3 linked regions of the Drosophila melanogaster genome follow. The protein of the gene in region 1 interacts with the protein of each later gene in a pairwise test. Each region holds a gene or a part of one and is shown in the gene's direction. Other genes may lie near its edges.

What was found.
Region 2: the proteins of Klp59C (region 1) and Mtap interact in a two-hybrid assay, tested with the Drosophila melanogaster proteins (one large-scale study listed by BioGRID).
Region 3: the proteins of Klp59C (region 1) and CG6726 interact in a two-hybrid assay, tested with the Drosophila melanogaster proteins (one large-scale study listed by BioGRID).

What each region holds. Positions count from the first base shown.
Region 1 is NT_033778.4:23,123,364-23,127,793, reverse strand, and holds Klp59C (Kinesin-like protein at 59C), read left to right. Parts: upstream 1-1,751; 5' UTR 1,752-1,886; coding exon 1,887-3,767; 3' UTR 3,768-3,871; downstream 3,872-4,430. UniProt on the Drosophila melanogaster protein: Required during anaphase to drive sister chromatid separation to actively depolymerize kinetochore microtubules at their kinetochore-associated plus ends, thereby contributing to chromatid mobility through a 'Pac-man' mechanism.
Region 2 is NT_033778.4:17,425,803-17,429,861, forward strand, and holds Mtap (methylthioadenosine phosphorylase), read left to right. Parts: upstream 1-1,992; 5' UTR 1,993-2,240; coding exon 2,241-2,291; intron 2,292-2,361; coding exon 2,362-3,141; intron 3,142-3,200; coding exon 3,201-3,239; coding exon of another isoform or gene 3,240-3,452; 3' UTR 3,453-3,513; downstream 3,514-4,059. Other genes in the region: CG6550 (uncharacterized protein), read right to left, coding at 1-569, 630-1,619; Bap55 (brahma associated protein 55kD), read right to left, coding at 3,623-3,858, 3,918-4,059. UniProt on the Drosophila melanogaster protein: Catalyzes the reversible phosphorylation of S-methyl-5'-thioadenosine (MTA) to adenine and 5-methylthioribose-1-phosphate. Involved in the breakdown of MTA, a major by-product of polyamine biosynthesis.
Region 3 is NT_033777.3:23,090,066-23,095,730, forward strand, and holds CG6726 (uncharacterized protein), read left to right. Parts: upstream 1-1,658; 5' UTR 1,659-1,691; intron 1,692-1,711; exon of another isoform or gene 1,712-1,797; 5' UTR 1,798-1,805; coding exon 1,806-1,896; intron 1,897-1,990; coding exon 1,991-2,482; intron 2,483-2,535; coding exon 2,536-2,953; intron 2,954-3,016; coding exon 3,017-3,221; 3' UTR 3,222-3,368; exon of another isoform or gene 3,369-3,394; intron 3,395-3,432; exon of another isoform or gene 3,433-3,435; 3' UTR 3,436-3,613; coding exon of another isoform or gene 3,614-3,710; intron 3,711-3,764; coding exon of another isoform or gene 3,765-4,256; intron 4,257-4,314; coding exon of another isoform or gene 4,315-4,729; intron 4,730-4,784; coding exon of another isoform or gene 4,785-4,989; 3' UTR 4,990-5,119; downstream 5,120-5,665. Other genes in the region: CG17110 (uncharacterized protein), read left to right, coding at 3,614-3,710, 3,765-4,256, 4,315-4,729, 4,785-4,989.

The sequences.
Region 1 (4,430 bases):
GATAATATGGAACTTCATGAAGAAAGTTTGCAAAGCTTAGTTCCTAACGATTCATCAACACCCATCGACATCATGCAGAGCATCTCCAACTACGTGCCTCTTGCCGGACTCAAATTGGGACAACAAATTAATCTGTTCGTCCATAAGTCAATTTTAACATTGATATTTAATAAATGATGCATGCAATTCATTTAGTTTTCGGCTTTGCGATTTGTCGTTCGTTTTTTTTTTTTTTTTGTCAGGCATAATTAAATCAAAGCAGCAAAGGCGGTAATCAGCTGGCAGGGAGAGGGGTGTAGTGGTGTGATTGCATCCGGATTTTGTAAACGGATTAGTTTAAATGTCGAAATTGTCCAATTCGATTACATTAGCGGACAACATTTAATCCGCGCCGAATGACAATTATTGTTTATGATTGCATTGCGTGGATGTGTTCTTTATGCATTGCTCGCGTGAAACAATATGTAAATTATTTATTATTATTTAAAATGATTGAGGCTGATCGAGAGGCTGACGGGTTAGAGAAAAATGAGCAAAAGAAAAAATGCGCACAATATATCAAAAGATTATATCCATGAAATCATTTCTTCATTATGCATGCATTTATGATTGCGTTTCAGGAGGCCCAAAGAAATTTATGCAAGCCACATTACGCACATCCAGTCCAATGGCTTTTCAATTTATTTGGAATTAAATTTTTTTTTTTTTGTGTGTAAAACACGGCAAATGTTTTCCATTTCAATTGCTTTATTAGTTCATTTCAGATTTGCAGTTTACGCAAGCATATAGCAAATATTCAGCTTACGTGCTACCTGCGTACAGGTGCAAAATGCCGGCTAAAAATCAAAATGAAAATGGAAATACCCGAAACGAAATCAAACTGTCCGGCTCGTTCTGACTACGGTTAAACAAATATGCCTGGGGGTCCCGGCCAAACAGGACAAAAAGCTATCGAAATTTGCATACTCCTATCAGCTGGGGAGCAGGAGTGTCCAGAGTCCAGCCTGATCGCCCCTTCCATGTTGCACTTTCCAGTGGGTGGCGGGTGGTGGTCGGTCTGAGGTGGTACTGGTTTGGCGTTCGCCTTTGCCGATAATTACACGGTAAATTTGGCAAAATGTGACGGCAAATAGCAAACAAGACGCCACTGAAGACCCAAACAAGTTGCACGTATCTGTGGGCAATGTATCTGTGTATCTGCGCCTGCCTACACTAGAACACCCATACGTTTGGCGGCGAAAACACAGATACGACACACACAGATACACCTTTACACAGAGGCAATGGCGCAAGCACTTCAAAAAATAAATAACAATTTGGTACGTTACACACGTCTCGGCTTATGCAAACGTATCTGCAACTTGTTCCTCGCTCTATCTCTTTCCGTCTCTTTCGTCGAAAGAATGCTTCATTTCAGAACACCGCCCGCTTGGCAAATAGAATACACACAGGACATGCAGCACGGCTGACGAGAGAGGCTCTCGGAATGGTGTTGTTTGTTGATTCGGTTATTCCTGCTGCCTGTTGTTTGCCCTCAAATTGAACAAATAGCTAAAACAATTCCCGCCAGAACAGATATCACTAGAATGGCACGGGAAGACCAGAAATAGAGCGCTATAACTACCTGTTTCATTCACATGCACTTACCAGATGCATAAATCATCGAAATTGAGTATAATTTTGATATGATTTTTGAAAAATTTCTAGCATAGATGGCTAACGGAAAATCGAGCATTGCATTGACTGTCACTCCCGTTTTCTGCCCTAATCATAATACCAAATAAGAATTCGGTCTAAATAATATGATCGCTCAATTGGTAAAAATTAGCAGTTAACAAAATTTGTTGCAGAAATCGAAGGAAAGTCGCACTGACTGATTTGCTGCCATGGATAAGTTGTCGATCGAACAGAAGATTTTCATCCGTCGCTCGGACGGTAGAGTCCACTTGGCGGAGATTATCAAACTGGAGGGCGGTGACTCCAAGCTGATTACGGTGGAGTGGCCCGAAGGACATACGGTGCGTGGTAAGGAACTGCCCCTGGAGCTGGTGGTCCTGATGAATCCTCATATCTTCGACTCGCCCCGCTGCAGTGGCGGCAATGCGGCGTCAGCCAATCAAACTGCCTCCATATCGCCACGTTCAATGAAACAACGAATAGCGACTGGGAGCTTATCTCCTGTACTGGCCACTGCCCCGCCACGCCAGCAGACGGCGCCGCCAGTTCGAGAGGACGAGGTGGTGCACCAGGCTGAAAGAATGCGAAAAGAACGGGAACGGAGGCGAGAAGCACAAGCCAGGACTCGTCTAGATCGGGAGCAGGGGAAGAACGAAGATCCGGGAAATCCCAACTGGGAAGTAGCCAGAATGATACGACTGCAACGCGAGCAAATGGAGAGTCAGCGGGTGAGAAGTGGTACTACGAACGAACGAATCAATTGCCACCAAATTATGGTTTGTGTGAGGAAGAGACCACTGAGGCGCAAGGAGCTGGCTGACCGGGAACAGGATGTGGTCAGCATTCCGTCTAAGCACACATTGGTGGTCCACGAGCCCCGCAAGCATGTGAACCTGGTCAAGTTCCTGGAAAATCATAGCTTCCGTTTCGATTACGTCTTCGACGAGGAGTGCTCCAATGCCACGGTCTACGAATTCACAGCCCGACCCTTGATAAAGCACATTTTTGATGGCGGAATGGCCACGTGTTTCGCCTACGGACAAACTGGAAGCGGCAAGACCTATACGATGGGTGGTCAGTTCCCCGGAAGGCATCAGAGCTCAATGGATGGCATCTATGCAATGGCCGCTAAGGACGTGTTCTCCACTCTAAAGACGGTTCCCTATAACAAGCTTAATCTGAAAGTTTACTGCAGCTTCTTCGAGATCTACGGCACCCGGGTGTTCGATCTCCTGATGCCTGGCAAGCCACAACTGCGTGTCTTGGAGGATAGAAACCAGCAGGTGCAAGTGGTGGGCCTCACCCAGAATCCAGTACAGAACACCGCCGAAGTTCTGGACCTACTCGAGTTGGGCAATAGTGTCCGAACCTCGGGTCACACCTCTGCCAATTCCAAGTCCTCCCGATCGCATGCTGTGTTCCAAATCGTGCTGAGATCCGCGGCGGGCGAGAAGCTACACGGGAAATTCTCGCTTATAGATCTGGCCGGGAATGAAAGAGGAGCGGACAACAGCTCGGCGGATCGACAGACGCGCCTGGAAGGATCCGAGATCAATAAATCGCTGCTGGTCCTCAAGGAATGCATTCGCGCTCTGGGGCGCCAGTCGAGTCATTTGCCATTCCGTGGCTCCAAGCTGACCCAAGTCCTGCGGGACTCCTTCATCGGAGGTAAGAAGGTGAAAACCTGCATGATAGCCATGATCTCGCCATGCTTGCATTCGGTGGAGCATACCTTGAACACGCTGCGTTATGCGGATCGGGTGAAGGAACTAAGTGTGGAGTCGATCCCATCTAAACGGATGCCCGATGCCAACCTTGGAAGCACTTCCATGTCAGATATTGTTTGCCAGTCGTCCACCCAGCGACTCTTTCCATGTGCCTCCTCCACATCGATGCCAGGTGGTGGCAACCAAGCGCAGCAACACACCAACACCGCGAACGACTTGAACAGATCCCAGAAACCAACATCTAAGCCCACTTATCCCACATCCGGTCAGCAGCTGGTCCAGAGGAAGGGAAGCTCCCAACGGGAGGCCTCCATGATGCTGACCAAATCCCTGGCACAATTCCGAGGGCGCAACTTTCCCTAAAACTCAGAAATCAAACGCCTTATCGACTTCTACAGCAAGTTATTCAAATTAAAAAGATTGTCAAAATTATTTGTTTACTTTATTTAAATAAATGTAGATGAATGAAATGGGCTTACCTATATATTACAAAATATACTTTGTTGGCTCTGCCTAGAAATCTAATAATGGTATCTTTCTTTTTTTGATGGACATAATTTACATTAACTCAATTCACTTATCATCACCCTGAAAAGTAAGTAAAACGAGCCAAATTGTGTATTTTTATATAAATTAAGTAAAACCTAGCAACGCAGCTCTATAGTAAGAATTTCTTCGTTTGAATTTGGCCCAGATAAATCGCTGACGATTGAGGACGCACTTGTGTAATTCGGCATCTTAAAGTTGTCACCAGCTCCTTTCCATTCTGGCCCAGTTCATTTGTGTGTCGTCAACCTGCCCTGCTTCCCTGGCTTATGCCGTGGCCCACTTTCGTGTCCTTCAACCAGCACACGTAGCAGTGGGCTCAGTGTGCGACTACATTTTCCTAGGCTGAACCCAAACTAAGCGCAAATATTTTCCGCATAGTTGCGCATTAGGCCAAAAACTTACTTTGGTTCCCTACACTTTTTCTGTGGCTTTTTTTCGTGCTTTACGGCGGCAGTAGGAAGTGAAGAAGTGGCTCCT
Region 2 (4,059 bases), 5.7 Mb from region 1:
TGCACTTGAACGTTTGGTAACTCCTGATTTTTTGCACACCTCGTCCAATCGCGTTCGTCGTCTAAAATTTCTCCCACCATGCTAAACTTGCTCGCACTGGTAATTCGCACATGGACACGAGTACCAAGAAGGTTATCCCGCATGGGCAGCAGTACTTGCTCGTAGCTCTTGTTGTGGCCCACGTAATGGAGCTTGTCGTGTGAAACTTCTGTGACCAAGACGGTGTATATTTCACCCACTCTGTCCGCATAGGGTTCATAGCTGTAGAAGAGATCCGTGAGACGTTTAGTTCGTTTCTTCACCAGGTTTGCGGGGATGCGATCCATCTTAGCAGCTGGTGTGCCCGGACGAGGGAAGAACTGATTGATGAACAGACTGGGAAAGCGATATTTGGCGCAAAGGGTCATCGTCTCCTCGAAATCGTCTTCTGTCTCTGTTGGGAAACCACAAATTATATCCGTGGCAATCGTGACACCGGGAACTCGTTCCCTTAAGAAATCCACAACGTGCTCAAAGTCCTGCCGACAGTACTCTCGTTTCATCTCGCCCAGCACAGAGTCACTACCACTCTATAAAAAGAAATAATTGACTATCGAAAAATATTTATATATATTACACTCGATCCTTACCTGTACAGGAACATGTAAAAAGGAGTAGACTCTCGGGTGCTGCAAGACGTTGGCCACTTCCTCGAGATGCTCCAGTATATACGGTGGATTGGTCATGCCTACACGCAACATGCAGTGCTCGGGGATCACTTCCACCAGTTGCCAGAGCAATTCCGGCAATGAGCTTCCAATATCTCGACCATAAGCTCCTGTATCCTCGGAAGTAAGCCAGATCTCGCAGCAGCCTTCAGCAAACGATTGGCGGGCGCGCTCTACAACCTCCTCCGGGGGATAGCTGGCCAAGTCACCGCGGGCGTGTTTAGTCTTGCAGTAGGTACATTGATTTAGGCATCCAGAGTTGATGGATATGATTTCTATTAATGGATTTTTGCGGACTTTGGGTAATGAGAGTGGTGCTCCAGCTACCCGCCGACCATGGACCTTCTTTTTGTTTTGCAACAGCTGGACACTGTGACCCTTGAGGGTCTCTTCAACGACCTCCACCACTCGGTCGATTTGCTGGACACCGATTACGGAAAGACCGTTCAGATAGTCCGATTTGGGAGCTCCCTGGGGAACGCAACCGGCAACCACGACGTGCTTGCCATTTCGCATTCCCGACTCAATCTCGTTGCGGAAAGTGTCCTCCGAAGGATTCTTAACCGTGCAGCTATTGAGCAGCCACAGATCCGCCTCCTCCTTTCCACTCAATCTATATCCGTAGGCAGCCAACTGCCCGGCCATGTACTCCGAGTCCGAATTGTTGTGGGCGCAGCCCCATGTTTTCACAAAAACTTTCTGGGTGCCGGGTATGACACTCTCGTGGATCGTGGGCTTCGGCTTTTCCTCCTCCTCTTGAGATTCAAGTCGAATTTGGGATCGTTTCTTGGCCCGAACCGTAACGGTTTTTTTGTTTTCGTAGCGCTCACGCGGCTTGACATCATCGGCGGATATCAGATCCTCTATATCATCCACATCGTTGCCTGGCAGATCCTGTCCAAGGTGGTACATTGTTTTTCCTTCTCCTTGTTTTAGATTCTATGCCAAAACACATGTGCCGCACTTCCAGCTGTTTACATTCAGATTTCTTCTTCTTCACTTCAGGCAGTGTTGTGAAGTGCATACGGGTAGGGTACCCGACTAACGGCTCGATAACAGGGTCGGCTGTCACATTTAGACACCCTACAAAATAAGCATACAAATTAAGTTTGTTATATAAATGATACAATAAATAATTTATTCCATGTTCCAATTTCCTATTTTCTTTATTCGGAACTGATATGGATATAAGTTGTAATAAATATAATTAGAAGGGCTTTGTTAGTTTAATTTTGATTGATTTGATTCTTTATCAAATGATTAGTTTTGTTCTAAAATGAATAATTATAAATATTAATTTGTCATAACTATTATTATAAGATTTAAAATCAAAATTTTGCAAACATAATTCAATTACCATAATTACACACCCACGACGACGTGCTGAGTGTCATTTCAATATGCCCGAGCTTTTGCGGCTTATGCACCCTACCGTGTAGACACACAGTTATCAGTACGCTATCAGCGGGAACATTCTACTCTGCTCCAGACTGCCGCAACAGCAGCTTGTAAAAGCACAATCCTCCGCTAGCCATGATTACGATTAAATGTAAAGACACCAATCTGGACCCGCTTCCGGTCAAGGTGAGTTCGTAGTCCGTCCAAAAATTAAGCACCCCATTTTGTTCAATGCCAAACTATAAATAACCCACAGATTGGTATTATTGGCGGTTCGGGGCTTGACGACCCAGATATCCTGGAACAGCGGCAGGAACGTGTGGTGGAGACGCCCTACGGAGAACCGTCTGATGCATTGATTGAAGGCGAGATCAATGGAGTACAGTGCGTACTCCTGGCGCGTCATGGACGCAAGCACGACATCATGCCCTCCAATGTTAACTACCGGGCCAACATCTGGGCTCTACGCGATGTGGGCTGCACCCACTTAATTGTCTCCACGGCATGTGGATCGTTGCGCGAGGAAATCAAGCCGGGCAACCTGGTTGTTCCACACGACTTTATCGACAGGACTACTAAACGCCTTCAGACCTTCTACGATGGCAAGGCACAAAGTCCACGTGGTGTTTGCCACCTGCCCATGTTTCCGGCATTCAGCGAACGCACCCGCAACATTCTGCTTCAGGCGGCCAAGGAGCTGGAGATTCCCGCCCACGATAAGGCCACCATTGTGACTATTGAGGGTCCGCGCTTCTCCTCTCGCTCGGAGAGCCACATGTTCCGTCAGTGGGGCGGGGACCTCATAAACATGACCACGTGTCCAGAAGTGGTGCTAGCCAAGGAGGCTGGCCTACTTTACGGGTCGGTGGCCATTGCCACGGACTACGACTGCTGGCGCATGGGTTGCGAGGGTGTCAACGTGCAGGATGTCCTCCGTACTTTTGCCGAGAACGTAATTAAGGTGAAGAAGATTCTGGTCAACGCTGTTGGTCGAATTGCCAAGGAGGACTGGTCGGAGGACATACTAAATGCCAAGGTGAGTGAGCCGAGATAAACATCATTTAAAACTAAGTTCATCATGTGTTCCGCCCATAGCAATGCGTTTGCAACAACACAATGTCTGGAGCCATGTGACGATTTATAAAACTTTGCCACGAAATAACAGAAGAGACGCTGATTCGCCGCAAGATTTATGTGCCACCGCTCTATCAACAGTTCCACAAAAAGCGAGGACCCAGAGTTCACTCCATATCCATTACGTACGAATTAGATCCGAAAGACAAAAGGCAGCCGGTGAAAACTCCATTGAAATGTGAAACTGTAACGTCCGCGTCAGCGTCGCAGTAAATATATACATATGTGTGTAACTAAAAACATTTCCGTAATCAAATGCAATCTATTCCTAAACAAACGCTCAGATGTCTTCTGAATAATGGGACACTTTTCACATTTCACATTTATATTATTACATAGAGTTGCGTCTTTAAAATTAAAATTGGAATTCGATTGCGCTGTCCTTACGGACACTTCCGCTCGACTTGGCTCTTGCCGGCCTCTTCGTACTCCTGCGACGATATCCACATCTGTTGGAAAGTACCTATGCTGGCTAGAATAGAGCCGCCAATCCAGGCTCCAAATCTTCGCTCCACGCTGCCATTGGCAGAAATCATTTTTAGGCGCGTATTTGAGGGGGCACGCAGCTGGAGATCGCGATTTAGGCGCTCCGGAAAGCCTTGCAGAAGGGTATTGCCACCTAAGAGCAAAATATTAAGGTATAAGTAATTAGTTTTAAAACCTAGGGAAAATTCATACCAGTAACGACAACTGAGCCGAAAAGTGACAGCCGCACATCCGCATCACACATGCCCACACTGGTGGACGCCAATTGGCCAGCTCCCAGCATTGCATTGTCAAAGAGACTCTCGGCTATCTTGAACCGCTCAGAGCCAAAGTC
Region 3 (5,665 bases), on another chromosome or scaffold:
TATGGTAAATGGTAAATGGCAGAGGAGGATTATATCAGTTCTCTCGCTTTTATTTTTTTTTTTTGCTTTTTTTGGCCAGGTAATGCGCCCATAACGGATTAGGCGATATCCTCGGGGTTCCATCTCTGCAGTTCTGCAGGTTTTGGGTGCTCAACGCAAACAGTTTCCGGCGTTGCCCGGATAATTGTTACAATATACAAAATTTTCATTTAGTTTATTTGCCCAGCGACAACATGTCAGCTCAGCAGCAACATCAGCAAACAACAAACAGGCGCGCCCCCAAGTCACCACCATGGGCGAAAAGTGAATAATTTGGCATCAGATAAGTAGATTCGTGTTTTACTCGACTAAGAATGAACTACTTTAGCCTCTGTACAGACTTATAGACTCTATTCTAGGGACATTACATTCGAATTATGCCAAAAACTTGCCATTTTGGCCCATTGTGCAGCTGAACGAGTGTTTGTGCGCAGGAAACTTGTGTATTTATTTGACTTATGTGACGCTGTAAATGGGGAGAGTACGAGTTTGTACGAATGTGGGGCTTGGATGTTATTTAAAATGCAGACATGTGTAGCCTGTAGTTGCTGCTATTGCTGCTGGTGCGCCATTAAAATCCCAGCAACATTGTTAATGAACTTTTAATGACTTTTTGTGAGTACACACACTAAAACAATATCAACTTTGGCCTAGCAGGGTGTGTATGCGACACAAATCAGAGGGCTTTGGTTTTGTGTATTTTTTTTGGCCCAACCACCTTTTTTTCTGTATGGGAACAAGCGTGAAATCTAAATGCGAAACTAACTTTTGACACACTACTGGGACAACAGACGCAGTGCAGCAAAGTCGGCAAGTGCAGCAGGAACACTATTAATATGCGAAATTTGAATTGGATTCGAGTGGCTGAAAGGCCCGAGGAGGGGCAACTTGTTTACCCGGAAGCCCACTGGGCGTGTGGTGCGAACGTGTGCAGTGCATCTTGATTAACAAATCAACTGGAATTGGAATGCGATTGCATGCGATTCATCAGTAATCGGAAATCTTGGCTGCGGGCCAAATGGGGTCACCATCAATCCAGCAATCCTGCAGTCCTGTTACCCCCAAAGCAATGCGAAGCACCTTCGCCTCCATTTAAGGCAAATAAATCCATCAGCCAGGGGGAATCCCAAGTAAATGAGCCTTAAAGTGGGTTCATATGTACCGGAAAGTGATGGAAGAATGTTCACCAATACATGGAGTGGAATCCCTACCAATTGGGATGGTACAGAAATAGAGTTCCACTCCTTGTGCTATGAGCTGCAAAATTCAGTTTAATTTATAAATAATGCAGTACAAGATAGAAATTACTATTAGGGGATGTCTCTTTTGTAATCAATTGAATTTTTGAGTGCTGGATATTAAATTCATCAAATTAGTTTCTCATATAGAAATGGGAAGACACGAATATTATTAATGACGGAAGCAATTGTTAACTGCAAGTCATTTGTACTGAAAAGTAGATTAGCCATCTAAAAAGTAAACAAATGCGTAAGATAAAACAGTTTATAGGCAGCACCGTATGATAAGAAATTAGGTTTAGTTCCTTCTCGGATTTATTATCATGCCCTCTCTTTCGCTCGCTTATCGCTGATATTTAAACGCGCGCTTCTCTCCACGATCGCACAGTCGTCGTCGAGCCAGTGTTGCGAAAGGTGTGTTGTGTGTCTGCTCTCCGCTGTGGTGAAGTGTCGATCAGCTGATTTCAGCAAACAATTTAATTGATTTGTTATCAGCCGGCTAATTATTTACATTTTATAGAGTGCAAAATGAGTACAGCCAAGTGGGAGAACAACGAGGAGATTAAGATCTTTCGCGAATATCTTCGCATACCAACGGTGCATCCAAATGTGGATTACAGTGAGTTCCAATGGGCATGTATATCTTTATGAGGCTGCGATAAGAGTACCCTGATCTTTATGACCTTGCCATAAAATGTGTCTGCTATTTATAGCCGTTTGCACGGAATTCTTGAAACGCCAGGCTGCCAGCTTGGACCTGCCCGTGGAGGTTATCTATCCGGTGAACGAGCAGAATCCCGTGGTGGTGCTAAAATGGCAGGGTTCCCAGCCGGAACTGCCCTCCATCATTCTCAATTCGCACACGGATGTAGTGCCCGTTTTTGAGGAGAAGTGGACACACGGTCCATTCAGCGCGGATCTAGATGCAGAGGGTCGCATCTTTGCGCGCGGATCGCAGGACATGAAGTGCGTGGGCACCCAATATCTGGGAGCTGTGCGTGCCCTCAAGGCCAGTGGCTATCAACCCAAGAGGACGATCTATCTCACTTATGTTCCGGACGAGGAGGTTGGCGGCCACCTGGGCATGCGGGAGCTGGTAAAGAGCGACTACTTCAAGAAGCTCAATGTGGGATTCAGTTTCGACGAGGGAATCTCTAGTGCGGATGAAACCTACGCTCTGTACTACGCTGAACGGACTCTTTGGCGTGAGTAGGATTGACTCATACAAACAATTTAAGCTAGCCATGTTTTCCTGCAGATCTTCGTTTCAAGATCAGCGGAACTGCTGGTCACGGATCACTGTTGCTCCCGAATACTGCTGGCGAGAAGCTGAACTATGTGGTAGGCAAAATGATGGAGTTCCGCAAATCGCAAGTGCAAAAACTAGCTGACGACTCATCCCTCGAAATTGGTGATGTGACCACTGTGAATCTCACCCAACTGAGGGGCGGAGTCCAGAGCAACGTGGTTCCCCCATTGCTGGAAGCTGTATTTGATATCCGCATTGCCGTCACCGTGGATATCCCTGCCTTTGAGAAGCAGATTCGCGACTGGTGCGAGGAGGCTGGCGGCGGCATTGAACTGGAGTTTGAGATGAAAAACCCCTTTGTGGAGCCAACAAAGATTGACTCGTCGAATGCCTACTGGCTGGCCTTTAAGAAAGCACTCGATGACCTGTAAGGATGAGAAGCTCTGACAAAAGGCATGGCTCTGATATCCTTTCTCCTTGTTTCTTTCAGTGGCCTCAAGACACGGGTTCGTGTTTTCCCCGGCGCCACGGACAGTCGTTATATTCGCTACGCAGGCATTCCAGCTCTAGGATTCTCGCCCATTAACAACACCCCCATCCTGCTGCACGACCACGATGAATTCCTGAAAGCCGATACCTATTTGCACGGCATTGAGGTTTACAAGAAGCTCATTCCTGCCGTAGCTGATGCTTAGCGAACTCAATTCAATTATGAAATAATGCATTTAATGCTTACTTGTCGATGTTTATTGTAATAACTTTAAACAAGCAGGCTTATAAAAACCCATTTAAATAAACAATGTATGAATAAATAAGCCAGTCCATAGTCCATACCATTAATGGTGAGCAAAAAAAGGAAATTTAAATGAAAATGAATAAGTTTATGGTTTACTATTATGGCTTTGCTAGATAACATTAAGCTCTTAGCGCAAAGATGAAAATCCGCAAATTGTGGGCTCTTCTAATCAAGTAGCTTAAAGTCAACAACTGATAATGCCATTAAGTCAATCCACACTCAGACTTCAAACCAAACAGCACGGTGGATTACAAGTCAGTTCCTTTAGAACCACGGGGCATTCAACTCAAAATGTGCACTTGCACGGAACAATGGAAGAACGACGAGGAAATAATCATTTTCCAGGAGTATTTGCGCATTCCCTCGGTGCATCCAGACGTGGACTACAGTAAGGATTTGTTTTTCCGCTCCTTGGATTTTGTTATCCCTATTTCCCTTGCAGCTGCATGCGTGGAGTTCCTAAAACGCCAGGCTAACAAACTTAATCTCCGCGTGGACGTGGTGTATCCTGTTGTGCCTTCGAAACCGGTGGTGATTATGAAGTGGCTGGGCAAGCATCCCGAGCTGAAATCCATTATATTGAACTCACACATGGACGTGGTGCCCGTGTTTCCCGAAAAGTGGACCCATGAGCCGTTTGGTGCCCACATAGACGCCCAAGGCCGGATTTATGCACGCGGTGCCCAGGACATGAAGTCCGTGGGATGTCAGTACATGGCTGCGGTCCGTGCACTCAAAGCCAGTGGCTATCAGCCAAAAAGGACCGTATATTTGACTTTTGTGCCCGACGAGGAAACTGGCGGACACATGGGCATGGCTGAATTCGTCAAGGGTGATTACTTCAAAGCCATGAATGTGGGCTTTAGCCTGGACGAGGGCATCGCCAGTGAAGATGACACTTATCCTGTATTTTACGCCGAGCGTACATTGTGGCGTAAGTCTTCCATTTGCATCAGTAGCAATATATTCTGATTCATTTTATACCCCTGCAGAACTTCGATTTAAATTCAGTGGCACTTCAGGTCATGGATCGCTGCTGCACAAAAGCACGGCTGGCGAAAAGTTTCACTTTGTGATGGATAAGCTGATGAAGTTCCGAGAAACCCAGGTCAAGCTACTGGCCGAGGACTCCTCCTTGCAGTCCGGTGATGTGACCACTTTGAACCTGACCCAACTCAACGGTGGCGTCCAAAGCAATGTGGTTCCCCCCGTACTAGAAGCCACTTTTGATATTCGCATAGCCATCAACCAGAATGCCGATGCAATGGAGAATCAGATTCGCGAGTGGTGCAACGAAGTCGGTGGTGGAGTGGAACTGGATTTCACGCTGAAGTGCCCCTCGGTGGTGACCAAGATAGACGACTCCAATCCCTACTGGCTGGGCTTCAAAAAGGGACTAGATGAACTGTAGGTAAACAAAGATTGTGTAGTTTTCACTTCATAATTTGTTGAAATTTTCCAGAGGTTTGATCACCCATACACGAGTTTTCCCCGGCGCCACCGATAGCTTCTACGTCCGGCAAGTGGGAATTCCCGCTCTGGGATTTTCACCCATCAACAACACCCCGGTGCTGCTGCACAATCATGATGAATATTTGCGGGCCGACACATATCTGCACGGAATTCAGGTGTACAGGAAGCTCATCCCCTCTATTGCTGATTCATAAAATGTTCAAGCGAAGTTCCACTCATAAATGGAAATCAATATGCTACAATTGGTCTTATCGCTTATGAGTAATGTTTTTGGCTCGATGAGTGTAGGACCAAAATTAAATGTTTAAATGGTGTGACTACTACAAATCATATCTGTTTCTAAACAAATGAAAATCACACACTGATAACACGAGTTTCAGAAGAGAGTTTTTGTCATGGACTTTGCCCTCATTCAATATCCAATAAATCGTCACAACTATTGATATCGTTCTCAAAAACTAACGTAACCTTCACGTAAAGGGGTTGTATTTTATATATACATCATAATTATCAATAATTACATTAATATGTATTCTATTTTCTTATCAAACCAAATACAAATTATAATAACCCATTTTTTCGCAGACCATAAACGACGGTGGTTGAGTTTTATTGGTGTTATGTGAACTTTATCGAATTGGCTACCGTTTGCTATTAGACATTTGTTTTGGTAGAATTTTGTACAAGAATATGTGCTGTTATCATTTCTATAACAACCGAGTTTGATAACGAACTCATTATTTGATAATAATACGAAGCCAAGGCCATAAAACCAAAATCACCCAACACACAAAAATTTCTGTATAAGTTCATTTTTTGCCAACTGCGGCACATTCGAGTTTGGTGACTGGCAGCGAAAACATATCCACA